Callithrix jacchus: one gene and its partners. The protein of the gene in region 2 interacts with the protein of the main gene of each other region in a biochemical or structural test. Links are inferred from orthologs where the notes say so. Each region holds a gene or a part of one and is shown on either strand. Other genes may lie near its edges.

Evidence for each region.
Region 1: the proteins of OCRL (region 2) and RAB6A form a complex in vitro, tested with the Homo sapiens proteins (2 studies listed by BioGRID and IntAct, with this or other methods). The link is inferred for Callithrix jacchus from reciprocal best matches to the Homo sapiens genes OCRL and RAB6A.
Region 3: the proteins of OCRL (region 2) and RAB8A form a complex in vitro, tested with the Homo sapiens proteins (2 studies listed by BioGRID and IntAct, with this or other methods). The link is inferred for Callithrix jacchus from reciprocal best matches to the Homo sapiens genes OCRL and RAB8A.
Region 4: the proteins of OCRL (region 2) and RAB5A form a complex in vitro, tested with the Homo sapiens proteins (2 studies listed by BioGRID and IntAct, with this or other methods). The link is inferred for Callithrix jacchus from reciprocal best matches to the Homo sapiens genes OCRL and RAB5A.
Region 5: the proteins of OCRL (region 2) and CLTC form a complex in vitro, tested with the Homo sapiens proteins (2 studies listed by BioGRID and IntAct, with this or other methods). The link is inferred for Callithrix jacchus from reciprocal best matches to the Homo sapiens genes OCRL and CLTC.
Region 6: the proteins of OCRL (region 2) and RAB31 form a complex in vitro, tested with the Homo sapiens proteins (2 studies listed by BioGRID and IntAct, with this or other methods). The link is inferred for Callithrix jacchus from reciprocal best matches to the Homo sapiens genes OCRL and RAB31.

Annotation. Positions count from the first base shown.
Region 1 is NC_133511.1:67,303,446-67,308,389, reverse strand, and holds the end of RAB6A (ras-related protein Rab-6A), read right to left. Parts: intron 4,292-4,944; coding exon 4,225-4,291; intron 2,810-4,224; coding exon 2,745-2,809; 3' UTR 756-2,744; downstream 1-755. UniProt on the Homo sapiens protein: The small GTPases Rab are key regulators of intracellular membrane trafficking, from the formation of transport vesicles to their fusion with membranes.
Region 2 is NC_133524.1:125,242,613-125,247,556, reverse strand, and holds part of OCRL (inositol polyphosphate 5-phosphatase OCRL), read right to left. Parts: intron 4,826-4,944; coding exon 4,715-4,825; intron 4,069-4,714; coding exon 3,903-4,068; intron 3,651-3,902; coding exon 3,415-3,650; intron 1-3,414. UniProt on the Homo sapiens protein: Catalyzes the hydrolysis of the 5-position phosphate of phosphatidylinositol 4,5-bisphosphate (PtdIns(4,5)P2) and phosphatidylinositol-3,4,5-bisphosphate (PtdIns(3,4,5)P3), with the greatest catalytic activity towards PtdIns(4,5)P2.
Region 3 is NC_133523.1:14,725,830-14,731,383, reverse strand, and holds the start of RAB8A (ras-related protein Rab-8A), read right to left. Parts: upstream 3,493-5,554; 5' UTR 3,479-3,492; coding exon 3,355-3,478; intron 1-3,354. UniProt on the Homo sapiens protein: The small GTPases Rab are key regulators of intracellular membrane trafficking, from the formation of transport vesicles to their fusion with membranes.
Region 4 is NC_133518.1:58,489,399-58,494,342, reverse strand, and holds part of RAB5A (ras-related protein Rab-5A), read right to left. Parts: intron 4,505-4,944; exon of another isoform or gene 4,404-4,504; coding exon of another isoform or gene 4,382-4,403; intron 2,911-4,381; coding exon 2,759-2,910; intron 2,532-2,758; coding exon 2,409-2,531; intron 1,263-2,408; coding exon of another isoform or gene 1,166-1,262; intron 609-1,165; coding exon 515-608; intron 1-514. UniProt on the Homo sapiens protein: The small GTPases Rab are key regulators of intracellular membrane trafficking, from the formation of transport vesicles to their fusion with membranes.
Region 5 is NC_133506.1:94,240,668-94,245,611, reverse strand, and holds part of CLTC (clathrin heavy chain 1), read right to left. Parts: exon of another isoform or gene 2,816-4,944; intron 2,447-2,815; coding exon 2,309-2,446; intron 2,066-2,308; coding exon 1,901-2,065; intron 1,749-1,900; coding exon 1,568-1,748; intron 1-1,567. UniProt on the Homo sapiens protein: Clathrin is the major protein of the polyhedral coat of coated pits and vesicles. Two different adapter protein complexes link the clathrin lattice either to the plasma membrane or to the trans-Golgi network.
Region 6 is NC_133514.1:53,105,359-53,110,302, forward strand, and holds part of RAB31 (ras-related protein Rab-31), read right to left. Parts: intron 4,778-4,944; coding exon 4,706-4,777; intron 3,669-4,705; coding exon 3,562-3,668; intron 1-3,561. UniProt on the Homo sapiens protein: The small GTPases Rab are key regulators of intracellular membrane trafficking, from the formation of transport vesicles to their fusion with membranes.

The DNA of each region.
Region 1 (4,944 bases), on a different chromosome or scaffold from region 2:
GACTTTCATTTCTACAGTAAAGGGTTCAGCCATGGTTGTCCTTTTGTCTATAAAGAGCCAGATAGTAAACGGGTTTTTTTTTGGCTTTTAGGGCCAAAGGTCTACTGCAGCTATTAAACTCTGCCATTACAGTAAGAAAGTATAGCTGAGTTCCAATAAAACTTAATTTTTAAAACTGGTACCAGGCTGGATTTGGTGGGAAGGACACAGTTTGCTGGCTTCTGTCCCAAGGCAAAGGTATAATTAAGAGTAAGGAGGCAAAAGCAGAACTTAACATACTTTTCTTAATATGTCCTATTACTGCCTCCACCAGGGCTACATATTTAAAGTTGCAGCCCCTCTCCCCTAACCCTCCAACAATACCCCCATCAAAAAAAGAGTCTTCTGACTCCCCAGGAGTTCCTCACATTTTTTGTTATTTTTCTGGATTCCATCCATATCTGGTACAGGTCTAGGGAGGGAGAAGCATATGCTAATTAACCATCTTGGTAGGAATGGGAAACCAAGTCAATAATTGTTTTCTTTTGTGTTTTATTTATATATTTTTGGCAGCAAAAATGTGTTTATTAAAAAAAATCTGGACTATGAACACACTTTGAAGAACTCCAAGCCAAATAAAAAGACCAATGTTAAAAGCAGCATAACTGGTTATTTTCTTAAAAATACATAAAAAGAATCAAACGCAACAGTGTAGGAAGACAATCACCCCTGTGTCAGAAGTCACAACTTCTTCCAAATAAAGAATATGACCCATCTGCCATATTGAATCAATATTTATTTCAGGACATGCCATGTCAAAATAAAACAGAGTCAACCCTTGCTTTTAACAATTATATTGTATTATAAAAGCACTTTACAACTCCATCCCATCTTTAAGTATAAGTTACTGGTATGTGGGCTAATGATTATCTGTAAGCATTTCTCTATTCAGATCCATAATCCAAGTGCTCTTTGAATATTACAAGGTGACAATAAGTGGGAAGTGGAGGAGGAAGAGGAAAGAGAGGGGACTAAGGTTCTCCCAGTTTAAGGTTTTGTTGCAGTGAGGGAATAAGGAAGTATGAAGGTATTTTTGTTGTCTTTTTATCTTTATACTGTGTTAAGTAATGCTTACAACGTAAATTCAGCAGGCTTTTCCTGAGCTGTAACTCAGAAGTTTTCTTCCTGCAAACAATGTATTTACAAATGTGTTTATTAGCTTACACAGCAATCTCACAATAACTAGTAAAGATTAAAAGGGCACACTCCTAGTATATTTGTTTGCAGTGTTTTAAGGGAAATACATATTGCCATGGTGAAGCTCTAAATAGATTCAACAAAACATCTAAAAATTGAAAGTTGTTAAAAAAAAAAAAGGCAAAGAAATAAATATCACCAAAGAAAAAAGATTAATTGTAGCTTAAATATAAAACTAAATCACTAGTTAATTAAACTATACAGATCTAATACAAACCAAAACCAGCTTGAAAGACCCAACATTAAAAAATGCTAAAAAATAAGGCATAAATCTGCATAACATTGAGTTTTATTTCCATTCTCTCCTTTCCCTCTACTATGCATGCTTTACCTGATCTGCCTCTAGGGGCTTATAAGAAAACGGCTTCCGTCTTCATTTTGACCTCAAATGTCCTGAGCAAAGTTTTTGCTATTCTCCTGAGGGTTCTTTTGTTGGTAAGCTTTAGATACCATTAGTTCTACTAATTTAGTAGTTTTGATCATAGTGCCAAATTTAAATTCTTCCACTGGTTCTTCTGAAAGGAACTGAACTTTTACAGTGCCTTGCCTACATAGTATTTTTTTTTTTATAAAGAAAACCCAAGCAAAATCTATTGCTTAAAGAGGTTTGTTATTATTTTTTAAACAAACAGAATAACTCCTAACATTTTAAAACCTTGGGAGAAACAGTTCATTAGAACTTCATTATTTTACCATGAAGAATACTAAAAACCTGTTCTGAAGCACTTGGTTAATTTTCTCTCCCAGGGTCTAATAAAGCACATGTGAAAGGGCCATTTGTTTTAGTCAGAAATACATTTTATGTTCTTCTACTTACAAGTACTCAGTATGTTCTTTAGGACTCATTTTGAAGATGCACCAGGACCCTTTTCTCATTCAAGCACTGCCTACCATGATAGTTGAATTCTGATCCCAAAGAAGATCTAAGTAATTCATATCAGTGCTCAAGAATAATTTTGGACATTTTGGCCCATGGCCTACAGGAAGTGGTATCTGTAAAATTAAAGGATAATTCCAATGGGCTTGGTCTGACTGCTGCTTTGCCATCTCATTTGTTTTGAAGAAGTGGGGGAGGCTAGGTAAGATACAGGGAAAGGAGGTAAGAGAGACATAAGAAAAGCAAGGAGAGATCAAGTAAGCTGTGAATATACTGCTTATTAACCAAGCCATACTCCTACTGTTGAGATTTCCATCATTTCGAAGTACATTATCATAACATTAAAAAAAAGGAAAAAATGTTAAGAAAATGTATCTAATTTTTAAAGTTATCACTGGAATATGTTGTAATATTTTGGCTTTTTGTAAAATAGAAATAATGAAGACACTGACTTTTTTTTGTGCTTGTGAAGCTAAAAGATCATCTCCACGAGACAGGCAGCAATGATGAATTGCAATACATTATTACTGAAGGGAAAAGGTTCAAGCCAATATTCACACTGCAGTCAATGAAAGAGTAAGGGGGCCAAAGCAGTGAGCTTCTGAAGAAGGGTTGAAGATGACATGGGAGATTAGCAGGAGCAGCCGCCTTCACTGACTGGTTGCTCCTGAGGCTTTTCCAGTTTTATGTCAATCACTGAAACAAAAGTTAAGGAGCCACAAATGGGAAAGTACAGTTTCAATTCTTCCAAACACTAGGATTTCTGGGATGGCCCTTATATTCCTATTTGACTTCAGAGCCTACACAATCACTATTTTCTACATAGCCACCTCACCATATAAGGTGCTCAAATGGAATAAACTTGCTTGTATCTACTATACACAACAAGGATCAGAATGAGGTACAAGCTCTATTTATGGGTATCTATCCTAAGGAACTTATTCTATAGGAGCAAGAAGTGACATGAAGATGATGTTCCTCATAGAATTATATATAATATAAATCTAAAAATAGCCTGTAAGACAGTTCCAACAGCAGGGGAAACATTTAATAAATAATGGGACTTTCAGGCCGGGCACAGTGGCTCATACCTCTAATCCCATAACTTTGGAAGGCTGAGGCAGTTGAGTCATCTGAGGTCAGTAGTTCGAGACCAGCCTGGCCAACATGGTGAAATCCCATCTCTACTAAAAATACAAAAATTAGCTGGGCATAGTGGCTTGTGCCTGTAGTCCTAACTACTTGGGAGGCTGAGGCAGGAGAATCACTTGAACCTGGGAGGCAGAGGTTGCAGAGCAGAGAGCCGAGATTGCACCACTCCAGCCTGGGCGACAGAATGAGACACTGTCTCAAAAAAAAAAAAAAAAAAAAGGGCATGCGGGACAAACTTCAACTCAGTAGTTAACATATTATGTTTTGAAACATGATACATATTACAAAGCATATGATATGAAGAACATATTATGTTTTTTTAAAACAATTATGTTTTTTATGAGAACATAAAACATTTACAAGAGGGAAGAGCTGAATACAAAGTGCTATGAACTATATGGCTTAGTAAAAATGCCTGCATATGGAAAAACACTAGAAAGTAAATATGAAACATGGAACACAACAAATTAAAAATCCTTAGTATTAACTAATGTTAGATGTTCTAATCCTTGGAAATGAACTAATATTATGTCCTGTTTCTGAAAACAGAGGCTACAATAAAGCTCCACTCTATTTCTTGCCTGTGTGAAGTAGAAAGCTCAAGTGTTAGAAAAAGAAAGAAATGAAAATATGATATTCTACGAGGAAAAAGCCCAGAGTCAATGGGACTCAAAATGAAGAGACAAGGAGACAGGCATTCTGAGAGTTTCCTGCTCATTAAAAAGCAAGCAAACACACATTAGCCTCTCACTGATTAACAATGAGTAGCAGGCTACAAAGTGTACACTTGGATAACCAGACCCCATTGACCCCATTTGCTATAGAAAACCTCTGAATTATGCCCCTAAGCCATCAGTTCCTGGTTTGTAAAAGGCAATGGCATAATATTCTTTAGCCAAGCAAGCAGGACTTTAAAGACTAATGTTAACAATGAAAAATTTCTGATTAAACAAGGATACTGTCTTCTCTGCTTCTGTCCTGTGTGCTTTCCATTCCAGGCAAAGCTGCTGCTACACGTCGAAAGAGCTGTGGGAAGAGGGAAAAGTGGTAATTGAGAGGCAACATTTAGCAAAGGGTATTGGGGTTTATGATCACTGTACAGTGAGCTGTCTAATGCTGGGCGCAATGGCTCACACCTGTAATCCCAGCACTTTGGGATCTGCCCAAGGTGGGCGGATCACTTGAGGTCAGGAGTTTGAGACCAGCCTGGGTAACACGGTGAAACCCTGTCTCTATAAAAACCACAAAAATTAGCCAGGCATGGTAGTGCACGTCTGTAGTCTTAACTAATGGAGAGGCTGAGCCTGGAGGACTGCTTCAGCCCAGGTGGAGGCTGCAGTGAGCCAAGATCATGCCACTGCACTCCAGCCCGGGCAACAGGGCGAGACTCTGTCTCAAAAACAAACAAACAAACAAACAAATGTCTATTCATCCTATAAATATTAAATAAAAACTAGTATGACAACTACTAAGAAATATAAAGGACATGATTCCTGCTTTTTAACTGATAAGACATGAACAAATAGCTATTAACAAATAAGCTGCAAAAATGTCATTTGAGTAATAAAGGATTACAGAAACGCAGAAAAAATAGCAGATCATTCATTTAACAAAATGTATAGTAGCATTCCTATCTTTCATGTAAAGAGTTAGGGTTGAGCTGGCAGGTAGCTCATGCT
Region 2 (4,944 bases):
ACTCACTTCTGGCTTCACCAACATTTTAGAGCAAATACAATAGAGGGCAGGTACCATTATTGATAGCATCATCTCATGAGATTTGAAATATGATATTGGGTTTTGGGGGAAAAACATGAAAATTATACCTGAGGAATCATTTCTGAAGGTTAAAATCAAGTCACAACAGTGGGAAGGTATTAAAGATGGGGTACTAATTACTTCAGATTTCTTGCTTACTCTTCTACACTAATGTAGGTTGAGTATCCCTAATCCGGAAATCCAAAATGCTCCGAACTCTAACCTTTTTTGAGTACTGTCATGATGATCAAAGGAAATGCTCATTGGAGCATTTCAGATTTCCAGATTAGGGAAGCTGAACTGGTAAGTATATAATGCATACATTTGAAATCTGAAACACTTTTGGTCCCAAGCATTTTGGATAATGGATAATCAACCTGTATAGACAATTTCCTCATCAATGAGATACAGAAATTTAATAACACTGAAATGCAACAGACTGTGAAAAGAAATCAGAACCCTAAATCCTACAAAATAAAAGCTTTAAAAGAAAAATGACATACAATTTAATAAAAACTCAGAAATTATATAATTAAAAATGACCAGTGTTCTATTATTTTAACCCTGCATCACTCGTACACAAAAAGGAAAAAGGCTTCCCGCCGGGCACGGTGGCTCATGCCTGTAATCCAGGGGAGGCCGACGCGGGCGGATCACCTGAGGTCAGGAGTTCAAGACCAGCCTGACCAAGATGGTGAAACCCCGCCTCACTAAAAATATAAAAAAATTAGCCAGGAAAGTTATCAGGTGCCTGTAATCTCAGCTACTTGGGAGGCTGAGGAAGGAGAATCACTTGAACCCGGGAGGCAGAGGTTGCAGTCAGCTGAGATAGCACCACTGCACTCCAGCCTGGGTGACAGAGCGAGACTCCATCTCAAAAAAAAAAAAAAAAAGGCTTCCCAAAGAGCCATTCATTCCTCTAATGACTTTGGTTACTTTCTTTTCATGGGCAAACATGGTAGAATTACCTGATACTATACTTTACATAAAACCTTATGCCAGTTGACCCTCTTCTGGCCAATCCCAGAATTAATATGAAAAACTGCAAAGGTTTTCATATTAATGGCAAAGATATTCTAATACCTTCATTGACTTTGACCAAAAATAATGATAGGTTCCAGTTTACACGAGGTAAGGGGGAAGAAGAGAGTATAAAAGGGATAAGTTTAAAAAGAAAAAAAAAAGAAGAAACCAGACGAATGTAGGAAATGGTGGAGACTTGACTGGACATTTGTACTGGACTCTTAAAAAAGTCAGTGTCACTAAAGAAAGTAAGTGGGAACTGTACTACTGCAATAGAGACTTCAGAGACCTCACCAAATATTACATGAACCCGACTGGATTTTGGTTTAATAAAAGGTGTAACTGGCCGGGTGCAGTGGCTCATGCCTGTAATCCCAGCACTTTGGGAGGCCGAGGCGGGTGGATCACGAGGTCAAGAGATCAAGACCATCCTGGTCAACATGGTGAAACCCCGTCTCTACCAGAAATACAAAAAATTAGCTGGGCATGGTGGCGTGTGCCTGTAATCCCAGCTACTCGGGAGGCTGAGGCAGGAGAATTGCCTGAACCCAGGAGGCGGAGGTTGCGGTGAGCCGAGATCGGGCCATTGCACTCCAGCCTGGGTAACAAGAGCGAAACTCTGTCTCAAAAAAAAAAAGGTGTAACAGAAATTCTTGGGACAACTGAAGAAATCTGAATATGGACCGAATGTTAAATGATACTATGGATTACTATTAGTTTTCTTATACATAATAATGGTATTGCGCTTAAGTTTGTCCTTTCTGTTAAGAGATGCAGGCTGAAGTGTTTAGTAGTAAAGTGACATATTGCCACTTAATTTTCATGACACAGCAAAAAAATCTGTGTGTATTATACATACAGAAGGCATGTGGGGGTGTGCTGTACTGTTCTTTCCATTTTTCTGCACATTTGACATTTTTCTTAAGAAAAAGCTGGGACAAAGAAAGCTGGGAAATGATGTTTGAGATGAAGGAAAGGGGGTAGGAGAAATAAGGAAAAATAACTTCATCCAAAGTGCATTTTAAAAGGTGAAATAGTAAAATATGAAAGACAGAAATATAATGTTAGGAGGGAAACAATTATCATGAAAAACAACAGAATGGTAAGATATGAATTTTTGAAAAAAATGGTTCTCTCTCAAACAGAGGTAATATACTCAGTCATGAGGGCCCGGGGGAAATAAGTATAATTCCAAAAAGAATGCCAGGGCTGGACTCAGTGTTTTAATCTGCTATCTGAGTCACAGCTGAAACAATTCCATGGCAACAGAACAGATCAGACTCAGACAAGCCAGAGAAGCCTGCTCACTGGTCTAGACCTCCCTGCTAGATAGATACAATCACTGGCTCTGGCCTAAAGACCATGTGAATACTAACAGTAAGAACAATGTATGCTGTCACCTCACCTAATTTTCTTTGGTAAAAGACCAAGAATATACTTTTGTAGCCCAAAGAGAACTGCATACAATCCAACAATATTTTCATTTAGAAGGAAATTTCTTAACACAATGAACTTTATTACTAAATCAATTTATGTTACTGAAGATAGTAAGTACTTCCTTCATAAAATTATTAATATTATAGCTTGGCTTGGGGAGAGATGGGAAAATCAACCTCCTTTCCTTTCTTAAGCACGTCACATTAAATAAGTATCAAATTTCAATGTACAATATAAGTATCTGGAATGCGGATAAAATGCAGATTTGTAAGCTCCACATCCTGAGATTCTGATTCTATTGCCAGACGTGAAGATGCCTGTAATCAGCTCCCCAGGGATTCTGATTTAGGTACTCCAGGGTTCCGGTAGAGTTCTATGCTTCCATAAGTAGCAAAGTTTGACTCTGATTAGATATAATGTGGTGTTAGTAAGGAATACTAAGCTGGGAGTCAGGAAATCTGGGATTTGTTACTAACTGATGGTATTCGACTTTGGGCAAGTCAATGTCTCTGTGCCTCAGTTGTCTCATATGCTCTGGGAGGATAATTCTGCCCGCCCCACTTAGCATACCTCACGTACATGCTAATTTATACAAAAGTGACTGAAGAATATGAAGAGCTTAACAAATAAGCATTCTACCTTTGAGAGGGGAGTCTTTAATCTTATTTGGTGAGCTTAGTATTATCTATTGTACTCCCAACAAGAGCCAACTGCAGATTAATCCCCCCTCTTTCCTTAGGCTTAACCTAATCAAAAACAGTGCTAGAATAGAGTGACATTCTTATCATTTGACATTCCCTGCAGCCAAAAGAGGACAGAAAGCACAAAGAGACATCACTTAAGTATTATGAAAATTAAATGTAAAAGAGGTGTATATCTTGAGACAGTTCTTACCAAGTCTATGAGTTTAGTAACTGGAACTTCCCGGATTGGTCTTTTCATGCGGCACAAAGCCTCTAAAGATGTACCAAAACAGCTTGGGAGGTAATTTCCACTGATGGTCAAGAAGTAATCTTTGCCTCGATCCAGGTGAAGGACAAGAATATCTTCAATCTTATCTTCCCCTGAGTTCAAGATGGTTACAGAGTCTTTGCTGACATACACATCAAGAGAAATGTCCACTGTCTCATCTGAAATGTAAGAGATGATACATGGTAATAGAAAAACTTCCAATGGGAAAGCAAAAAGAGTATAAGAACCAACAGAAAAGTGTCCTCTAAAAAAATCATTAAGCAATGATGGGGAAAAGATAGGACACACAATAGAGGTATAACCAATATGACAGTAAAGGTAAGAGACATGTGGTTAGAAAACAGGAAGTTATACCAAGGATGGGAGTCATGAGGACATCAAGCAGAGACAACGGTAAAGGGAAAACTCACTTGGCTCCAAGTAGCCCTCAAAGGGTTCAGCCCGAAGCCATGGCTTGCAGTACTGGCTGTCATTAAGTTTAGGGATGAAAGAAAAATGGCAGGGAACCTGTCCATTGTTGCTGATCTGGAACTTCTCCTTTTGTAGTTGCCGAAACTTCACATTTTCAAACACAAACTGGGGAATAACAGACAGACACAAACATGCATCACTAGTAGGGGAAGTAAGTCAGTTGGATTATTCCATGGAGGATATGAGGAATAAGGTAATTGTTAAACAGGTGTGCAGATGCCATAGACATTCACCAACTACACCAACTTCACAGCATCCACTTGCATATATTATTATACTCACACCAGCAGAGAAGGAGTTAGGTGGCTCTTGCTACTTCTCCAGGCTACTCTGATCATTCCTAGGATCCTAAGAGGGTAACCCAACCTTGGTTCAGAGCATTCATCCTGTGACCAAGTCATGGTTTCTGAGATATGAATTAACTAGCAAGTCTGAAACATTAAACAAGAGCAGCTAACAACAGAGGACTTACTACGTGCCAGGTGCTGTGCTGAGAGCTTCCCATGTATTAATTCATATAATCCTTACAACTACCCCTTAATCCAGAAAAGGAAACTGCAGCTCTGAGCGCATAAGACACTTGTCTGAGGTCATACATCTAATAAATGGCAGTGCTAGGACTGGAATGGAGACAGTTTGATGCCAGCAACATGGGCTTAACCACTTTGCTATGTTGCCTTTTCTAAGTAGCAGTTTCTTCTGTGCTAACCACAGTGGGCAGTAGACAGGGAGATCATGTATTTTTGCTCACCTCCCTCCTGCTGAGTTCTAAGGACGGAAGGAAGTCATTTTCCATTCTGTCCATGATGCGTACACTATCTTCAAAGACTTTCCGGTACCTTCGTTCATCCACAACCTTCACCTGAAAGAAAATGTATTCTCTTTTCAGTCTTATATGTTTCTAGCTCACCTCCCTTGGAGATTATCTCACAATTTAAAACTGGTCATTACAGCAACCATTTAAAATAAACTGTGGTGCAA
Region 3 (5,554 bases), on a different chromosome or scaffold from region 2:
TTACCTATTTATTAACTTATCCGACCTATATTTGTGTCACCAGCTGCATGGACCTGGGTGTAATGCTTGCAGATCCTAATGACCCGGGTGGACGAGGAACAGCCAGACTCAGCCTTTGCCACTAGGAGTTTCTTCAAATCCCTGCCGGGGAAGACTTGAGGCCCAGGCCTGGCTGGACCTCTCTGAACCCAGGGTGGGGATGCTAATTCCATCCAGCCAGCCTCAGCACTGGAATTTCGCCCTCTCAAACATAAGCTCCCTGGAGGCAGGGACTTGATGGTCTCATCCACTGCTTTTCCCTCCCAGTGACTCAATATGCATTTGCTAGAAGCTGGTAGCACAGTCCTGCGTGCACCTTGACTCACTCGGTCCTCTCTGCAGCCCTCGTGCCAAAGCGGCTGCCTGGCCCACAGAGGCCTTGGCAAAATATGGCCGGATCAAAGAAATAAAGCGCAACAGGGTCTATGCGGTGCTGAGCGGTTCACAAAGCACTTTCTCACACGCCAACCCTGTCACTGGAGGAATGAATGGGCCCCTGAGGAGTCAGTGGCACTCAGCCAGGCTGGTGAGAACCCATTCCAGGGAGCCACAGGGCCAAGTTCACACCACAAAATGATCGATGGGGCTTCTGAGAATAGATTTTGGCGATATGTTACTTTTGGCAAAATGTTAAGGACTGAGTGGCAGAAAATGAACAGCCACTCAATCCTTGGTCTATAAAGAAAACCCAGAGGTGCCCTCAGCCAACACGGAATCGCTTTTTTTTTTTTTTTTTGAGACAGTCTCGCTCTGTTGCCCAGGCTGGAGTGCAGTGGCACAATCTCGGCTCACTGCAACTTCTGCCCCCTGGGTTCAAGCGATTCTCCTGCCTCAGCCTCACGAGTAGCTGGGACTATAGGCAAGTGCCACCACGTCTGGCTAATTTATGGAATTGTCTTTAAGCATTGAGAGATTCTGCTTCAGGATTAGACAGCCCAGTGTGCCTAGGCTTCCTAAAGCATACCCCACCTCCTGCCATGCGTGCACAGGGACACACAAAATCAAGGAGCACTGTTAGGTTGGCTAAGCTCCACAGTAGCGCTCTGCCCTACACTCCTGCTGGGTTTTATTAACACGCCAAATTTAATTAGGAAGTGCAAACTTTATGAGACCTAAGAATTATGAGGCCTGAACTTCAAGGTCACGGTGAATTAGACTTTCCTAGAAGACAGAAGGCTACAAATGGAAGGAGCGGAACGCTGGGGTGGGAGGGAGGGATCTTGGGGTCACCTTGCTAGGTTAACTTTCACCAAGTCATATCCTCATCTGCAAATGGAAGATGGCCTCTTTAAAGCTTTAAAGTAACTCTAAAGAGGGGGTTTGAGGGGAAGGTGCTGAGGCTAGGAAACTGGGAACTGGGTAAATGCAAGCCACAGTCTGCCCACAGTTGTATTCTTTTTTTTTGAGACAGGGTCTCGCTCTGTTGCCCAGGCTGGAGTGCAGTGGCGCCATCAGAGCTCACCGCACCTTGACCTCCTGCGCTCAATCCACCCTCCCACCTAAGCCTCCTAAGTGGCTGGGTCTACATGGGTGAGCCACTATGCCTAGCTAATTTCATTTGATTTTTTGCAGAGATGGGGTTTTGCCCTGTCGTCCAGGCTGAATTAAAGCCACTTTTTGATTGGCTGGGGCACAAGGGTTACCCTAAAGCTTGGCCTTGGAGTGGGGGAGGGGGAAGAATTCAGAAACATCTGTCTTCAGAGGGTGGAAGCTGTCACCACAGGAGCCATTCATTTGTTTTCTCTAGATGGCCTCTGGTTGTGATGACAACCCCTTATTGTCTAATTCTAGTCCTCAACCACCAGGGCACTAGCCCAGGCAGACAGCGTCACTCCTGCTCTGAAGACAGCAGGGGTCAGAGAGGGGTAGTGCACGTTCAAGGGCCAGCAGCAACTAGGAACCAGACATGATGATTTCCAGTTAATTCTCTCTACTTTACATCTGGCATATAACTGTTTCATAAAGTGCAGCTCCTCGAGGGGGGCAAGAATGGAATTGGCACATTATCATGAGATTTAGGGAGATAACACGATTCTGTTGAAGTCACACATAAAGCAAAGGCCATTCTCTATGTTTTCTTGACTTTGAATAAACTCCTTGACTTAGTGACCGTTCCCTCACTATCCCCATCCCTAGCAGGGCTGCAGAGCTCACAGGCCACTCTGATCGGTGTTACTCCCAGGTCTAACCTTTTCATCGTGGGCCAGGACTGCTTCTGTGGCGCTGAGAGAGGTCAACTCTACTTCTGTGGACATCACAACTGAGACATCACAACAAGCCAATTTTGTTCAACCACGATGTGGGCTGGCCCTACGGGAAAAGCTGTTCTAAATTGACAACCGGTGTCCTGGGCCCTTTGATAGGGAAGTCAAGGCTGTCTGTGGCAGTGGCTGATTTAGTTTCTCATTGAGGGTTTTATCTTGCATCTTCTTGGGGATGACAGGTCCCAGGGCAGGCAGCACTGTCACTTGCCATTGCTGTCATCCTGGAGCAGGATAAAAGGCAGGCAGGGAAAAGGTCCTGACTCCTCTTATCATTTCTTCTAGAGGAAAATACACTTATGGGGGAAAACATGGCAAGGAGAGGGACTCAACCTCTGGATGCTCCAGAGAAGAGGAGGAATGGTGTGAGTTAGAGTCCCGGCTCCAAGGTGCATTAACTGAGTTTGTCATCAGCCAGGGGTGTGTGGTGCTAACTCTCTAGAAGAGCTAAGCCTCGAGTTTTGGGGTGAGACACAGCCAGGATTAAATTCCATTAAATCCCATTCTCACCACCTGCAGACTGTGTGGCCTTGGATAAGTCCCACGCCCTCCCTGAGCCTCAAATTACTCATCTGTGAGACGGGCTCATAACAGCACTTAAAACACCGAAACTAGAGTGTGGAAATGCACGTGAAGGACTTGGCACATAGCAATTGCTCATTAAGGCGACATGTCACCGTCTTTTTCCCACAGCCAATTCCTCATGACTCAGTTTCCACCTCTGTAAGACAGGAACCGCAAAAGAACCGCTTCGAGGGCTGCTGCTAGGACAGACCGAAAGGACGGGTGCGAAGACGCCTGCCCAGGACATAACACTCCCTAACGAGCGGGCTGAGGATGGGAGCCTCAGTCACCCCATCTGCAAAATGGGCACCTGGTCTCCCCCGCCACGGCCCATGAACCCCGAAACGGCGGTGCAGGCGGCTGCTCTTCTCCCTTCGACCCTCTCAGAGCCCTCGGCCCGCCCAGCAGGGTAGATTTCTCAGCCCCAGCCCCTCAGGGGCGCGCCCAGCCCGGGCCTCCGGCGCCCCTAGCCACTCCCGGATCCCGCTACCTATGGTGGAGATAAACGTGGAGTTGAAGGCGTCCTCGGAGAAGCGGAACAGGACACAGGTCTTCCCCACCCCCGAGTCCCCGATCAGCAGCAGCTTGAACAGGTAATCGTAGGTCTTCGCCATATTACACTCTCTCCCCGACAGGAAGTGCAGCTAGCGCCTATCCACTGGCCACCAGCCCCGTCCATCAGCGCCGAGCCCGCCCCTTATTGGCTCCAGGCCCGCAGCGTGTCACCGCGGCCGACACTCGCCCCTGAGTCCCGCCCGCCGCGGGGAGACCTGGGGAGGGGGCGAGCGTAGCGCGGAGCCGGAAGCAGCCCGAGCGTACCTCCCATTGGCCAGCACTGATATGAGGACGGGCTCTGATTGACCAGCAGTAAAGAGTCGAGGGGCTTCAAAGGGGGACGAGACGGGGGCGTGGCATTATGTGGCCCCTGCCTCCACCACAGACTCGGCGGCCCGGCCCCGCCCCAAAATGGGAGAGGGAAAGCAGCGAGCAGCGCCAACGGCTCGCGCGCCGACAGTCTGTGGGCGGGGCTTGGGGTGCGTGCGCACGCGCACCCGGAGGTCCGTTAGGCGCCAGCAGAGGGCGCACGCGCATAGTTGGGGAGGGTATCTCTGGGTCTCGCCCTCACAATTCGCGCAGCCTCAGTAGGCGCCGAAGCGAGCGCGGGAAAGGACTGAAGAGCTTTTTTATACGTCTGTGGTCTGCCGGGGCAGCGTGAGCCGAGGGAGGAAGGAGAGAGGAAGCGCTGTATAATCGAAAAGTGACCCCCGAGGCGAGATCCGAGGTCTCGGCTGTGGCTTGGCAACCTGCTTAGAGATACCCAAGCTCTCCGCCACCTGAGCGGCGTCACCGCCACGAGCTGTGCCCCAAGGCGCGCGCCGTCCCCCTCAGGGCCCGCCCTCGGCCGCCTTAGGGGTTGTCCGGGCCAGCCTTGCGGGTTAGGGCAGTGAGGATGCTGGGTCCTATCTAGGGTCGGCGGTTCTGTGTCTGGTGGTCCTCTCAACATTGAAAAAACAGACCGTCGCGGTGGCTTCCGCCTGTGATCATAGCGCTTCTGGAGGCCGAGGCGGAGGATCGCTTGAGGCCAGGAGATTGAGGCTCCACTAGCCTTGATTGCCCCACTGCACTCCAGCCTGGGCGACAGAGCGAGACACTCGAAAAAAGAAAAGGAGGGATACATTAGGAAAATCGGGCTTGCAGCCGGGTCTGGTGGCTCATGCCTGTAATCCCAGCAGTTTGGGAGCTGAGGCAGGCAGATCACTTGAGGTCAGGAGTTCGAGACCACTGCATTCCAGCTTGGGTGACAGAGCGAGACTCTTTCAAAAAAAAAAACAAAACAAAAAAACTTAAAAAAAATTAGCCAGGTGTGGTATTGCATGCTTGTAGTCCCAACTACTCAGGAGGCTAAGGTGGGAGGATCCCTTTAGCCTTGGAGGTCAAGGCTGCAGTGAGCCATGATTGCACCACTGCACTCCAGCCTGGGTGACAGAGCAAAGCCCTGACTTAAAAAACTTTAATCCCAGTACCAGCCCAGCAAAATGATACTGTTTTTTTCCCATTTGATGGTGAGAAAACTGAAGCCAGAGGAGGTTAAGTGACTTTTTCCCCCTCCCCACTCAAAAGTAGAAGTTGGTATCAGAATTCAGAGTGCCAGTCTTCCCAGGCTGCAATTTGCTCACTAGGGCTTCCTGCTTCTTAGAGATGGCCCAGTCTCTCTTAGGTCACTCTGGGGCCTCCAGGGCCTGGAGGCTCACTTAAGGGTCTGCAGAAGGATGGCCCCAGCCTTTCCTCCTCCCTTCCACTTCAGCTCATTCTGCTAATATAGCTCTGGCTAAGAAAAGCTTCAACAAGAGCCACTGACCACTTCACAGGCCTCAGCCTCTGTGGGATTTGAAAGTCTTGACCACCTCTGAATAGTCTATTTTTTCTTGGTATCATCCTCATTTTATTTATGTACTTATTTTTGAGACAGGGTCTTGTTCTGTCGCCCAGGCTGGAGTGCAGTGGTGTGATTTTGCTCACTGCAACCTTCGTCTCCAGGATTCAAGAGATTCTCCTGCCTCAGCCTCCCAAAAGAGCTGGGATTACAGGTGCCTGCCACCACACCTAATTTGTATTTTTAGTCGAGATGGGGGTTTCACCATACTGGCCAGGCTGGTCTCGAACTTCTGGCCTCAAGTGATCTGCCCTCT
Region 4 (4,944 bases), on a different chromosome or scaffold from region 2:
GATCAAATGACCATCTGAGGCAATATAAAGTATGGGTATTGTTTTCTTTTCCCTTTTTCTCCTTACGCCTCTTTGCTCTGAAATTGTCTCCCTTATAATGTTTACATTAAAATAATTTGTCAACCTGTGTACTTATGTGTCATGTTCTTCTGAGTTATACTTACCAACAATTTGATTTTTAAAAAGTATAACCTAATTTAAAAAACCATATTTACCCAATTTTCCCAGTGAAACCTTTGCAAAATCTGTTTCAACTATTAGGTTAAGATTCAGGCTTAACTTACCTGGAATAAGCTTACCTAAATTGACAGTATTACAACCTAACAGGTAATCATCTTTCAAACTTAACAATATTACCAACAAAGTATTGCTTTGTGGAAGAGACCTAGAAAAGTGGCATGATCACACACAACCCCCACTCCAGGAATTTTTTAAACAAGAGACAGTCAAACCAAACATGCTGCACACTTACTTTTACTTATATTGATCATTTTAAAAGAGAGATTAATCTTACCTATTGCCATGAATATTTCATTTACATTCATTGATGTTTTAGCTGATGTCTCCATGAATAATAAACTATTGTCATCTGCATAGGACTGCGCTTCCTGTTTATAGAACAAAAAATGAGATATATCTCTTGGAAATACACTACACCTGCTTTATATTTGTTACAGAAAAGGAGACTTATTACTACTCCAACCTGATTGTCTACTATAATCATCTATAATCAACAACTGTGTAATAAGTACAACAATAAGAGTACTGTGCAAAATAATTTTATAATGGACGATTTCTTTTTTTGTCTGAACTTCTGGCATTATCCCACCTTGATTAATCTGTTCTTACATTAAATCTGCTTTCAAATACTGAGTTCCAGAGATGGGGGAGAATTATCTTATTCTAAATAAAACTCTCTTTGATCTCAATGGCAATCTTTTTATTTCCACTTATTATCTGCAATGAAGACAAAGGGAAACCAAGTATCTAACACTGGCTTCAACCATTAAATAACAACCTCATATTTAATTTTCAATGACTTCTACAGCAACATTATAATCCTGAATATATCATGTATCCTTCCTTTGAAAATTGTATCACTGCCCTACATTTTTGTCATGCTTTTACAGTTTACATATATTATTATTATTTTTGATCCTCATAGCTGTTGTGAGGGGTAACCAATTATCTTTCCCACTGGACAAAGAAACAACTGAGGTTACTCTGAACTATTATGTGACCGGGCCACTTCTGACTGTAACGTAAGTGTTTTCTTTATCACTCTTGTGCTGGGGAGGGAACAATTTTGGAAAGAGTAATAGATGATACTATACCTCACATCATTTTCATAAGAATTAAATAAAATTACAAGTGTGACATGCTCAGCTTAGTACCTAATGATGCAAGAATACAGGTATTCCATCACGGATATATACACAGTAGGACAACCACCCTTCTAGTAGAGAAGCCAAAGAGCAAGAGAACAGGCGCAGTTTTAAAAGGTCTAAGTAGAGGACTTGCTTTGTTTTTAAGTGATTGCACTTGCTCTATTTTGTGGCAGCAAACATTCTGAATTAGCAATTATAAGACACATATTGAATTTTTTGAACCTTAAAAAATTTTTTTAAGTTATTTTTTAGTTTTTTATTTTCAACTCCAGATGTAGACTGGCAGAGCCTTTATTTTTCAATGCCCCTTTAAAAACAACCACACAAGTGTGTGGGCATGTATATGTGTGGGTACACACGTGTGCTGACACATACTTGAAGATGAGTAAAAGAGGATTAGGAAGGACATAAAGTATGTGTGGGACAGAGGAATTAGAGCAGGATACAATCACTTTCTGCACTGGGAACAATGACTACTTTTATTGTTTGTTTGTTTTTTAAGACAGAGTTTCACTCTTGTTGCCTAGGCTGAAATATGATGGCGTGAACTCGGCTCACCATAACCTCTGCCTCCTGGGTTCAAGCTATTCCCCTGCCTCAGCCTCCCGAGTAGTTGGGATTACAGGCATGCACCACCACAACTGGCTAATTTTGTATTTTTAGTAGAGACAGGGTTTCTCCATGTTTATCAGGCTGGTCTCTCACTCCCAACCTCAGGTGATCCACCTGCCTTGGCCTCCCAAAGTGCTGGGATTACAGACATGAGCCACCACACTTAGCCTTTACTGTTTAAGTCTACAAAATCTTTGAATCAGTTTATATATTACAATAATATATTTACAAATTTAGGTTTATCAGAAGAAGTGTTTTACTACATGTAGTACTTCATATTTGTTTTAAAAAATCTGTATTTTCTATTACTTTGATGGCTGTAACATTAAAACTAATTCAAGTGTTGACACAAAAGAAAAACTTACAGGAAGAAAAGTGCCTTTCAAATGAAAATTAAATTTAACATACCTGGAAATCTACTGCTCTTTTATTTGCTAGGTCAGCCTTGTTTCCTGATAAAGCTATTACAATGTTGGGACTTGCTTGCCTCTGAAGTTCTTTAACCCAATTTTTTGCTCTTGCAAAGGACTCCTGTTAAACAAAGAAACAACTATTTGACATAGGCTCAAAAAATGGTTAGGAAACATCTTTGTGATACAAGGCTTTAAAAGACTGTCCAAAGCGACTGTGGAAAAGAAATTATTAGGACTACTGTACTATGAGATATTTTCATTTTATTTATTTTTAAACCAGATTTTCTAAGTCACAAAAGCTTCAGCAGAAAGGTTAGTTTCACTGTGGAATGCATCCGTACTTACCTCATTTGTGATATCATATACAACTATGGCTGCTTGTGCTCCTCTGTAGTACATTGGTGCTAGGCTATGGTATCGTTCTTGACCAGCTGTATCCCATATTTCAAACTTTACTGTAGTGTCATCAAGACATACAGTTTGGGTTAGAAAAGCAGCTGAAAGAAAAGGACTGCAATAAGTTAATCATTTTTCTCCAAATGTTTTCACAATATAGAAAACACCTGGTTGTATACATGTATCAAAATGTCACACTGTACCCCACAAACACGTACAACTATTACGTGTCAGTGGAAAGTAATAAATGAGGGTTTAATAAAAAAAACCCAAAGAACAAAACACAAACCAAAAAAAAAACAAACACCTAGAAACTTAGACTGCAGTTGATAATGGCTTTAAATACTGACAAATGTATGCTTCTAAGCTATTTACATATATGCTTACATATAAGGCCTTTGTAGTGAAATCAGATTGAAAAGTTTCTGCATGTTAAAAAAGTTTGTTATAATAATAATTAAATAAGCTTAAGATTAACATTTCTTTTTTTTAATTTTTGAAGACAAAGTCTTACTTTGTCACCCAGGCTCGAGTGATCTTGGCTCACTGCAACCTCTGCCTCCCAGGTTCAAGTAATTTTCCTGCCTCAGCCACCTGAGTAGCTGGGACTACAGGCGTTCACCACCACACCTGGCTAATTTTTCTATTTTTAGTAGAGACAGGATATCCCCATGTTGGCCAGGCCGGTCTCGAACTCCCGACCTCAGGTATTCTGCACACCTTTGCCTCCCAAAGTGCTGGGATGACAGGCATGAGCCACCATGCCCAGCCAAGACTACATTTCTAAATTGCTTCACAATTAAAGAAATGCACTGATAGTCTTAAAAAATGGGGGGAAACCCAGTATGCTTCTAACTACCATCTACATTGCCAATACCATGTCCTGTTCCATTTTACTAGTTTTTATTGGCACACATTGGTAATTTAGTCCCAGTCCATTATCATCAAATTAATATTTATTTACATATATATATTTTTTCTTTTTTTTTTTTCTGAGAGACATTTTCTGGTAGTCATTATTACCTTAACCTAGATTTAATTTGTTCAGTTGATTCAATATTTGCTTCTACCTCTTTCACTCCCTACCATAAGAATTTCTGGATCTGTATTTTTCCTGATTCTAACAATAAGAAAGTAGCATTATTAAATAGTACTTTATTGTTAAAATTAAAAGGCCCACACAGAGCCATTTTTGCCAGCATGGCTGATAGCAACAATCCCTCTCCTCTATTACTCTAGTATCAAAATGTCACACTGTACCCCGCTTAGACTTCCCTCTGCTGCTGCTCTTAGCATTCACTGTTAATTGGTATGCTCCTCCCTTCCTTCTATGTTTACCTCAAGGTGTGATATTCAAACCCTATTCCCAAAATGGTATGGACTTGAATTTCAATTTTCTAAAACTGTCATATTATGCAAAAGAATTACGATATATTTCTCTAAATTACAGCAGTTTATCTAGTGATGTTGATAGAGATTTACTAACTAGTATCAAATGTGCTAAAAAATGAAATCTAATGAGATATAGCTCTTTTATATTAGACTTAACATTTACTTTTCATGTTCTTTCAGGTTAACTGGTTGCTGGCTTTAGTACAACTAAAATCTTCTGAATTTTGCAAACAATACTGTAAATGTCTTTACTTTCACCTAAATTCTAATTTATGAATTTTCACTAATCATACTGTAAATATATTCTAATCCAGTTCAAACTTTTTTTTAACTAACAATTAGCAGAATTATCCATTTTATAATAAACTGCATTTATGGTAAAGGATACCCAGAGAACACTGTGTCACTTTTTCAAGGTCATGAGAAGTTCTCCTGTAGGATCGAAAAATTTTTTAAAACTAAAATTAAGCCCCTAAGACAGTACTTCTTATCAAAAAGGAAAAGAGGAAAATAAATCACAATACATAAGCCTTTTTTCAAGTATAGTTTGATGCAAACTTGGAAAAGAAAATTAAAATATACAGACTGTTTTCATTTTTAGACATGCTATGACCACACAGTATACTAGTAGTAAAAACATTCATTTATACATCCATAAGTAAACTTCAGGCTCAGGGAAATAACCATAGTTGTCTCTCAGAATCAGTGGAGGACTATTTCCAAGACCTCCCCAGGTATCATGA
Region 5 (4,944 bases), on a different chromosome or scaffold from region 2:
CTGGAAAATTTTAAATGAAGACCCCAATACATGGTGTTTTTCAATATGTAGTTGATAGGAAACATACAAAATAATTTGGGAAGAATTTAGTGCAGTATTTTTCAGAAGGACTTTCTGCAATGATGAAAATTTTACCTTTGCCCTCCAATATAAAGCCACTAACCACATGTGGCTATTAAGCACTTGAAATGTGGCTAGAGTGACTGAGTAACTAAATATTAAATTTTATATTTTAATAACTTTAAATGGCAATAGCTACTACATATGGCTAGTGTCTACTGTACTAAACAGTGTAAATTTAGTGCAGAGTTAACATTTTTGAAACTGGGAAAATGAAGAAAACTAGTAGAATCTCTTACCCCTTCTCAATAGAGCACTACTACTAAAAAGAGGAGAGAAAGGTAACTGGGGACCAGAACTTAGTCACCCAACAGTGATTATGTTAGTACCCTGTACAGCAGTGGTTCTCAACTGAGGTGATTTTCCTCACAGGTGACATTTGACAATGTCTGAAGACATTTTTGGTTGTCACAACTGGAGCTGATGGGCTCAGTTTCTAGTGGGCAGAAACCAGGAATGCTGCTAAATATTCTACAAGTATGGGAATACCTCTCTACAATGATTGTTTAGCCTTAAATGTCTACTTAGTTCTAAGGTTGAGAAATCCTGCTAATGACAAACCACAAAATGCCCTTGGCTAGAATCACCTGCCATTATAAGACTCAGATATATAAGCATAAAATGTTATTAAACCTGATCATTAGTACAGATTGAGTATCCCTTATCCAAATGCTTGGGACCAGACATGTTTCAGATTTTTGAACTTTGGAATATTCACATTATGTTTACCTGATCAACATCTCTAATCTGAAAATCCAATTTCTGAAATGCTCCAACAAGCATTTCCTTTGAACTCAAAAAGTTTTGAACTTTGATGCATTTTGGATTTTCAGATTAGGGACACTCAACCTGTATTTTCACTTTTTACAATTTAAACATCACTACATATTTTTCTCTTAAAATTCTACCTTTAATTCATCTATAAAATATCCAAACAGATGGTCTTGTTCACTGCATATCCTTAGGATCCAATATAAAAGGGCCTTGATGACATTATTATTATTATTATTATTTTTCCCTGAAACAGAGTCTCACTCCGTCGCTAGGCTGGAATGCAGTGGCGCAATCTTGGCTCACTGCAACCTCCGACTCCCAGGTTCAAGCAACTCTCCTGCCTCAGCCTCCAGAGTAGCTGGGATTATAGGCACGTACCACCACGCCCAGCTAATTTTTATATTTTTAGTAGAGATGGGGTTTCACCATGTTGGCCAGGATGGTCTCGATCTCCTGACCTTGTGATCTGCCTACCTCGGCCTCCCAAAGTGCTGGGATTACAGGCATGAGACACCACGCCTGGCAACATTTACTGAATAACAAAACTTAAAAAATTAAAATGTCCCATAGAACCAAATTTTTAGAAAGACAAAATTTCCAATAGCCTGATCATAAGCATACCTCTTCTTGGCTATCTTAAGTACTTTTTACAAACTCAAAAACTCCTAATTACCTTCAAAACTCTTGAAAGATTCAAAAAGTTCAATCAGAGACTGAGTTGACAGTTGTTCATGATATTTAGAAGCCACCTGAACACAGATCTGCAGATTCTGACGAATATTGGCAGACAGCATGGCTCTGAGACATTCTAGAGAGTCTTCTACTGATAAGGAACCAAAGTAATTCACTAACCACTACAAGACAAAATAAATGAATGAATGAATAAATGAAACAATGTTGAAACTCATGGAGGTATGAAATTATTAATATTTAGTACTACAAACACATTTTCAGTGTGCCTATTAATCACAACTAACACCATCTATTAGGTAAGAAACTAAAATACCTCAGGGTTAAGAAGATGGGTGTGAACCACTGCACGTTTTATATCATATAAATCAGTGAAGTGTTCTAATGCACGCTGCAGTAAGCCAGCCTTTTCACACAGCTGAGCGATATGAGCCCGGTCATAATGCGTGAACATCTGATTGCCTAGAATAGCATCTGCAACCTGTAAAACCACAAATAAGGTAAGTTTATTGTCCATCCCATTTATATGAGTAATTCAATATCCATATTACATATTAAGGTTTAATAGTGAACTGATAAAAGAAAGTACAAAAGAATATATAATAGCTAAATTTTCTTGTATAAGGAGTAGGCATCTCAGTAGCTTTGAATAACAATCTGAGATGCTCTGCACAATTATTAAAGCAATATTGGAAACATGCCTAAAAAACATTAGAACACATACTTGAGGCGCATGCATAAGGTTCATCTCAAGTAACCGCGTCTGTAAAGGACCTTCAGATGGGCGATTATTCTTCAGTGCATCAAGCAAGAATGCGGTACATTGCTGAATTAGATTGTATTCCATAAAGACATCTACAATCTGCAAAAAAAGAGATAAAAGAAATTGTTTAAAGATACTATGGAAAGTATGTAGACAAAATTATGCACAAACTCTTTCTTTACCTGAGAATTTATTTGGACACTATAAATGCTTTAAGAACAAATTTTGTCTTCTAGAGAACATAGTTACTTTGAGTTCTGATAAAAACAACTAAAATATTTCAAGATATTACATACTAGCAGAATAGAATCAAACAGATAGACCTTTATTTTTACGAACTTTTGAAAAACAATAACATAAACAATATGAAGAACTCTGAATTGGAAGACTCACACTTCCGGTATGCATCTCTTCCCTCTCCCCACACTTAGGAGCAACCACTATCCTGTTTTATCACCCCCATGTATTTTTTTTTTTTTAATAACTATTTTTCTATTTATTTGAAGCACAGTAAAAAAAGAAAAATTGGTACACTTTGGAAATTCAGTGGCACAAGGTACACTGCCATAACTTGAAGGACATTATACAGTAAAAAAAGAAAAAATAAGGAAGTAAGAAAAAAAATTATCCTGTTTCAAACAACTGCATTACATAATTTTACCTGCCCAAACAGACCATTTACAAATATTAGGTCAATAAACTACTAACATCCATAAAAAGATAGCTTTCTTACTAAAATGTCAGAATTTAAAAGATTGGTATCTAAACAAAAGACAAAACAAACTGGAATGAAAGCCTAGATATCACATCTAAAATCGGGGTTTTTCTGTTTGGGCCTTCGTACTCTTCTCTCCCTCTACCATATCCTGCTGGAGTTCCAGGCCCCATTCCTCTAGGACCCTGTCCACCCACAGGCCCCGCACCTCCTTGCCCAAAGTGCTCAGTACGCATGTCACTTCCTATCATGGAACCACTCATGGTTGCTGGTGGAACTCCAGGATTAGCTTCATAACCTATGCCACCACCACCACCTAGAGGTGGAAATTTCTGGCCTCCTGAACCATAGGGATCTCCCATGTTCATTGCTCCTCCGCCACCCATTCTCATGTCTCTTTCTCTTGGATCCATGTAGCCCATTCGGCTATAACTTTCCTCTCTTTGGCGCCTCATTTGTTCTTTCATCTCACGCTGACGAATCATCATCTCTTCCTCTCTTCTATGTAGTTCCTCCTCTTGCCTCAATTGCATTTCTTTACGTTTCTGCATTTCTTGATTATGAAGTTCTTCCATGCGTCTTAATTCTTCCTGTTGTCTCATCAGATCTTGGTGCAAAAGATTTGCCTATGTTCATGATAGGCATCTTCCATTTCACTTTCCAATTTGTCTTTTGCATCCTTCATATTTTTTTCATTTGTTCTCTTTGCTGTTTTTCCATTTCATCCAACGACTTCCATCGCTGAGAATATTCGTACTCAAATGTGCCATGCTGGGCAAAACGAGGAGTTTCTCCTTTTGATACATCGGATTCTTCTGCGCAAGTTTTTCAGGAAGACCATCTTCATCAGCTAGCTGTTCAAGTGGTTCCACGATGACTGGACGAGGAGTTGTTGTCAGCAAGAAAACATCTTCACTGCATCGTTCAAATGCCTTTCTTGCTGCTGGTTTAGAAGCAAATTCAACAATGCCTTTCCCTGTAGATCTTCCACGATCATCCACTATTACAACAGCCCTTTCAATAGGACCAAACTGGCTGAAGGCTTCTTCCAACAGTTCACTGGAAACGTAAGGTGAAAGATTATGAACAAAAAGGGCAGCAGCATGTGTGGCAAAGCGAACTCGAAGCTGTCTACCTCTCATGGGCGTATCATCGAGCTCAGCTTTGGCAATTTCAGCCAAAGCTCTGGATTCAGGCTTAATAAATCCGAATCCTTTGCCTTTGTTGATTAAATCTTTTCCAGGTTCTCCATATTTAACAAATAGTCTTCTGAATTCATCTTCCGTGATATCAGCAGGTAGATTCCCAACAAATAACCGACATCACTGTGTGTAAGTTTTCTCTCCAGGCCTCCTCAAGAGAGAGAAGTTGGCTTTAAAACCCCTCCGAGTCCGAGATTTTCTCCTTGCTGCGGCCGCTGGGCCCAACGGGCGGGGGGCCACTGGTAGTGCTGCTGGTGGTAGGGCGGGTGGTGCTGGTGGCCCCCGCGACGCTCACCGCCGCCTCGTTGCGGCGGCTTCAGGTGGCCTCCAGGAGTGCTTAGGCCCGGACCGCCACCTGGCTTTGGCCCACCAGGCATTTTGCCGCCTTTGGGACCGCCCGGGCCTGGGCCCTGCTTAGTCCCCGGACCTGGGCCCGGCCCGTCGCGGGAGGAGGCGGCGAGCCTCCTGCCTGAGGAGGCGTGGTAGGGACCCCAGTGCTTGGCGGGGTGGGTGGCGGCGTCCGGGGAGGGGCCGAGGTGACCGCGGTCAGCGGGGTCCGGGTCGGGCCTGGCCCGGACCCTGGCTGGGTCCCCGAGGTCAGCGGAGTGGTGGGCGGGGCCGAGCTGGAGGCTGGCGGCGCGCTGCCTACTCCGGGAGCAGGACCGGGTACCTGAGCAACA
Region 6 (4,944 bases), on a different chromosome or scaffold from region 2:
AAATCAGAGTTGCCTTTTATTTTTCAGAAATTAAGAAATAGGTTCTAAAATTCATACGAAAATGTTAAGGGTCCAGAATGTCAAACAATCTTGAAAAGGGGAACAAAGTTGATGAAATCGATTTTTAATTTCAAACTTACCACAAAGCTACAGCAATCAAAATAGTGTAACACTGATATCAGGACAGACATATAGATCAACTGAATAAAGTTAAAAGCACAAAAATAAGACCACATTTATGGTTGACTAATTTTGACAAAGGCCCCCAAAAGAATCAAAGGGAAAGAAATCATCTCTTCAACAACTAGTGTTGGCGTAATTAGATATCCACATGGAAAAAGATCAGTTTGAACTTCTATCTTACATTACATACAAAAAGTAACAATTTGGATGACAGACCTAAATGTAAGCACTAAGAAAACATTCATAAATATTTGTGATGTTCAATTAGCCAATCACTTGGGCACAAGAGATAAAAGAAAAACATGATAAACTGGACATAAACTTCTGCACACAGTAAAAATTGTGAAAAGACAACCCACAGAATGAAAGAAAATATTTGCAAATTATGTGTTTGATAAGAAACTTTTATTCAGAATACATAAAGAACCCTTATAATTCAATAATAAAAAGACAAATAATCCAACTAAAATTTAGGCAAAGAATTTGAAGAGATGTTTCTCCAAAGAAGATATATAAAAGGCCAATAAACATGTGAAAATATATCTATTATAACATCATTAGTCATTAGGAAAACCACAATGACACAATCTCATACCCACTAGGATGTCTATAATCAAAAAGACAGGTAATAAGTGTGAGGTTGTGGATATCTCGGAGTATCTTTCCAAGTTACCTTGGAAAACAGTTTTTGAGTTCCTCAAATTATTAAACAGAGCTATCATATGACACAGAAATTCCACTCCTAGGTACATATCCTAGAGAGATGAAAACATACATGCACACAAAATTTGTACATAATTGTTCATAGCAACATTTTTCATAATAGCAAAAAAGTAGAAACAATTCAAATGTTAATGTGTGCATGAATAAATGCACACATGGTAAATGTGGTATATCTATACAATGAAATATTATTCAGCCATAAAAATGAGTGCATGACTGACACATGCTACCTCAAACACATTTTGTTAGCTGAAAGAAGGTGGTCACAAAAGACCACATATTATGTGATTCCATTTATGCAAAATGTTCAGAAAAATGTCCAAATTGAGGGGAACGAAAAGGTAGATTAGTGATTACCAGGGCTAGAAGGAGCTGGAAATTTAGAGTGACTATAAATGGGCATGACGTTCTTCACAGAGTGATGGAAATGTTCTAAAATTAGATATGAGATGAGTGTACAACTCTAAAAATATACTAACATTCATTGAACTGTACATTTAAAACAGGTGAATGTGATGTTTTGTAATTTACCTCAATACAACATATTAAATGTTTAAAAACTTAAAAATTACTTCATGTTCAACTAGTCTTTCTAGTTGACCTAATCAGAGGCTTGAAGTCAGTCAGCTTCTTGTTGCCTGATTAAATAACAAGTACCATCTAAAATAACTGTATATAACAAAAGATATACATGCCACACTTTAAAACACAATTGTGGGATCTTGAGGAGCCACATTCAGACCTCTCTGAGGCCAAACAAGAGGCGAAAAGATACTACGAGGGAGGCAGGATGCATGGGACAGTGGCCCCATGACACCACCACTAGAGGAAGCAGTGAGAAAATGGCCCTGCATTTTCTCCCACTGAGGATAGAGAAGCTGCAAGTAAATTCATGGTTGGAAGTGAGATGAATAGATTATGTTAGCTGCGGCACTTTGAAAACTGCACATATTAGAATCAGCTGAGCACAAATCAGAATGGCCATCAGGAAGAATGCTGTACCTGTACATAAAAGGCGAATTCCACCCTGAAACACAGAGTATCTTTGGGTGCTGGTAGCCACACCAGTGTGTCACGGATATGTTTGTCTCGCCAGACTCACTTATCTAGGAATTGCCCCTCTTCAAGACCACCCGCCTTCCCATTCTCATAGTAACGCTGGGAAATATCGTCTCGTATTACCCAATTCCCTCTTGGACGTATACGCCTGTTCTTAATGTGGGGAATTCCTCTCTGGCATTTTAGACTGGAAATGAAGAGAATGCCAGGCCAGTATCTCTCCAGAGACTAACTCTGGAATAGGTCAAATGCCAGAGCTCAAGGCAGTTCTGTTTTTACCATGTGGATGCCAGTACCTTCCAATAAATTCCCCTTTCTCCTGAATTGTGTTTTGGTTCCATGTAACCAAGAATCCTAACTGATACTATTCAAGTTTAAATCGTTTTCTGCTTAAATTCTAGTCCATCAGCATTCCCACAATACACAGGACTTGGTTCCACTTAAAGGTGCACATCAGTCCCATAATCAGGAGATGTTAGAGATAGTACCAACAGCAAAGTCGTCTCTACCCACTTATCCTGCCCTCCCCAAGACAAAGGTTAAGGTGATTCTGCTGGGAACACTAGACAAGCAAGTTGTTTGAGGATTACAGTAAAGAAGGTGGATAGCTGAACTAAGTCTGGGAAGTTTAAAGACTTGTCCAAATACCAGAAAAACAAACGATTAGGTGTTGTTTATGGCTGTTATTATAAACCAACCAGATGCAATGTGATATAAAGCTTCTGAAATCCCAAAGAAACGAACAATTTGTTAAATGCTATGTTAAGAGCTTTTGCAAGCTCCATTTCCACTATTTATTTCACTTTGGTTTAATCACATTTTGATTTGCAAAACGAGAAGCATGATGTAGTTGTCTTTATGAAAATCAACTACTAGAATTCCCGAGAATTAAATTAACCAAAGGAATGGAGACACCACAATTTTACTATTTCCTTTTTTAAAATAATGTATTTATTTAGCAAAATACCTAGCTTACCAGGCTCGGTAAAGCTATCATCAAATCTCTAATTCATGTGTACTGGATTCACAACTTCTTTCCAGATTATAGCAAGTTCAATAACCCAACACTGTGGGGGAAGTCAAGGTACTCACATACAATGTGTCGTATTCTGATTTTAGAACAAAATGGTGATATTATGTACTTGACTATACCCTTAAGATAAAATCTAGAACTAAAACAAACAGGTATACTATGAAAAATATTAAGAATTCTAATGGTGATTACCATAGAAAAGTGTTGCTAAAATTGTGCTAGCAGTAATAATGATAATAACAATGGAAAAAGTAACAACAGAAATAATAAACCATCTAGCCCAAAGATATGTAGAGTCAGGGATGTAACTGTGTTATGTACAGGAGTTATGATTTTAATATTTATCACTGTAGGGTACATCAGATTTGCATTTCCCTAGCATATTCTCTTATTTCTTCACTGGTTAAATCAATGCCATATTGTCTACCACATGTGAAAGGCCATTAATTAAGTTATTACACCGAGGGCAGACATAACAAAGGCGTGACACCTTTGTACACTCAAGGATGACATTCAGAGATGGAGGATAAAATCTCCACAAAAGAGATTTAAATGCATGTTACCTAATATCCGAGAGGTCGCACTTGTTTCCGGCGATGGCCATTACGATGTTTTCCGGACCATGTTCTTTCAGCTCCTTGACCCATTTCTTCAAGGTATAAAATGAATCCTAAAACAACAGTATATACACATCATTGGAAAGACCCCTCAATATAATATTTCAACCAAGTAGAAATACAAACCCAGTACCATTTAATGGAGAAAAATATTTTTAGGAGACTCATGCAGATTAACACACTACCTCTGGCTAGGCACAAAAGTTAATGTTAGCTGAAATACACTTAAATTGACCATATAAAGTTTTCCAAAATTAAAACTCGATCTAGTTAGGAAAACTGTATCCTTGATTTTCTCCTATAAATTTATATAGCAAAATCAATTTAAAATGATAGCCTGGACTCCGCACATGAGTAAGAATAACAGGACTAAGTAAATGCTCATGCTTACTTACACCTAGAAATAAACATATATTTAGAGTCCTGTCTTCCCGTTGAGCCTTCACTCACAATCGTCCTCTAGAAAACAGGTGGAGGACAACACGCCACATTTAGGTAGAAGAGGTCAGGAATTCGTGGAAGATAACAGTGATAGGTCATTAAACTAACAGTCGTAGGTGCTGAGGCAACACTCCAGAGGAAAAAAGTAAATAATTTAAGTTGCAGGAGTCAGAAAAAATGTCATCAAACCACTGCAGTTACTTGTTGATGGAAGTCTAAGACCTTCAACATGATAAATAAAAATACATTTATATTATATGAACACACACATATTAACTTATATACACATAAACGTTATGCTTGGTATTTTAAGTATGTAGTATGACTGAAACACTAACAAAAATAAGTATTCCATAATTATAAAGCATGCAGAAATTAAAAACAATTTTCCTTTTCTTAAAAAGTTGACATTCTGCAAAATAGTACCAGCAGACATGACTTTGCCTCTACAGTCAGTTTTAAGAATGAATGGTCACTGTTGTTTAATTTAGCAGATAATGTGGGATGTTTTGTTACATATACATGAAATAAACTCAATATATAGTGGCAGGCTGCTGGCAAGATGCAAGCAGTGACATCTCTGCTTCAGTCTCTCTAAGTGAGACACCTGCCATAAATGGCATCTAAATTCTGAAGGAGACATTCTTACCTGCTTCGTAATATCATACACAATAACAGCAGCAGCCGAGCCTCGATAGTACATGGGAGCCAACGAATGAAACTGTTTAAGAACAATGAAAGGTTTTAGGCCAAAGTGAACAGACTTTATTCAATCCCAAATTAAATATAAAATATTTATCCTACATCATCCCTATAGGATCCCTAAATTCCTTCCCCCTCTAATTTTTTCAGTGCTCATATTATTACTTACTTTCTTTTATTTTCTTT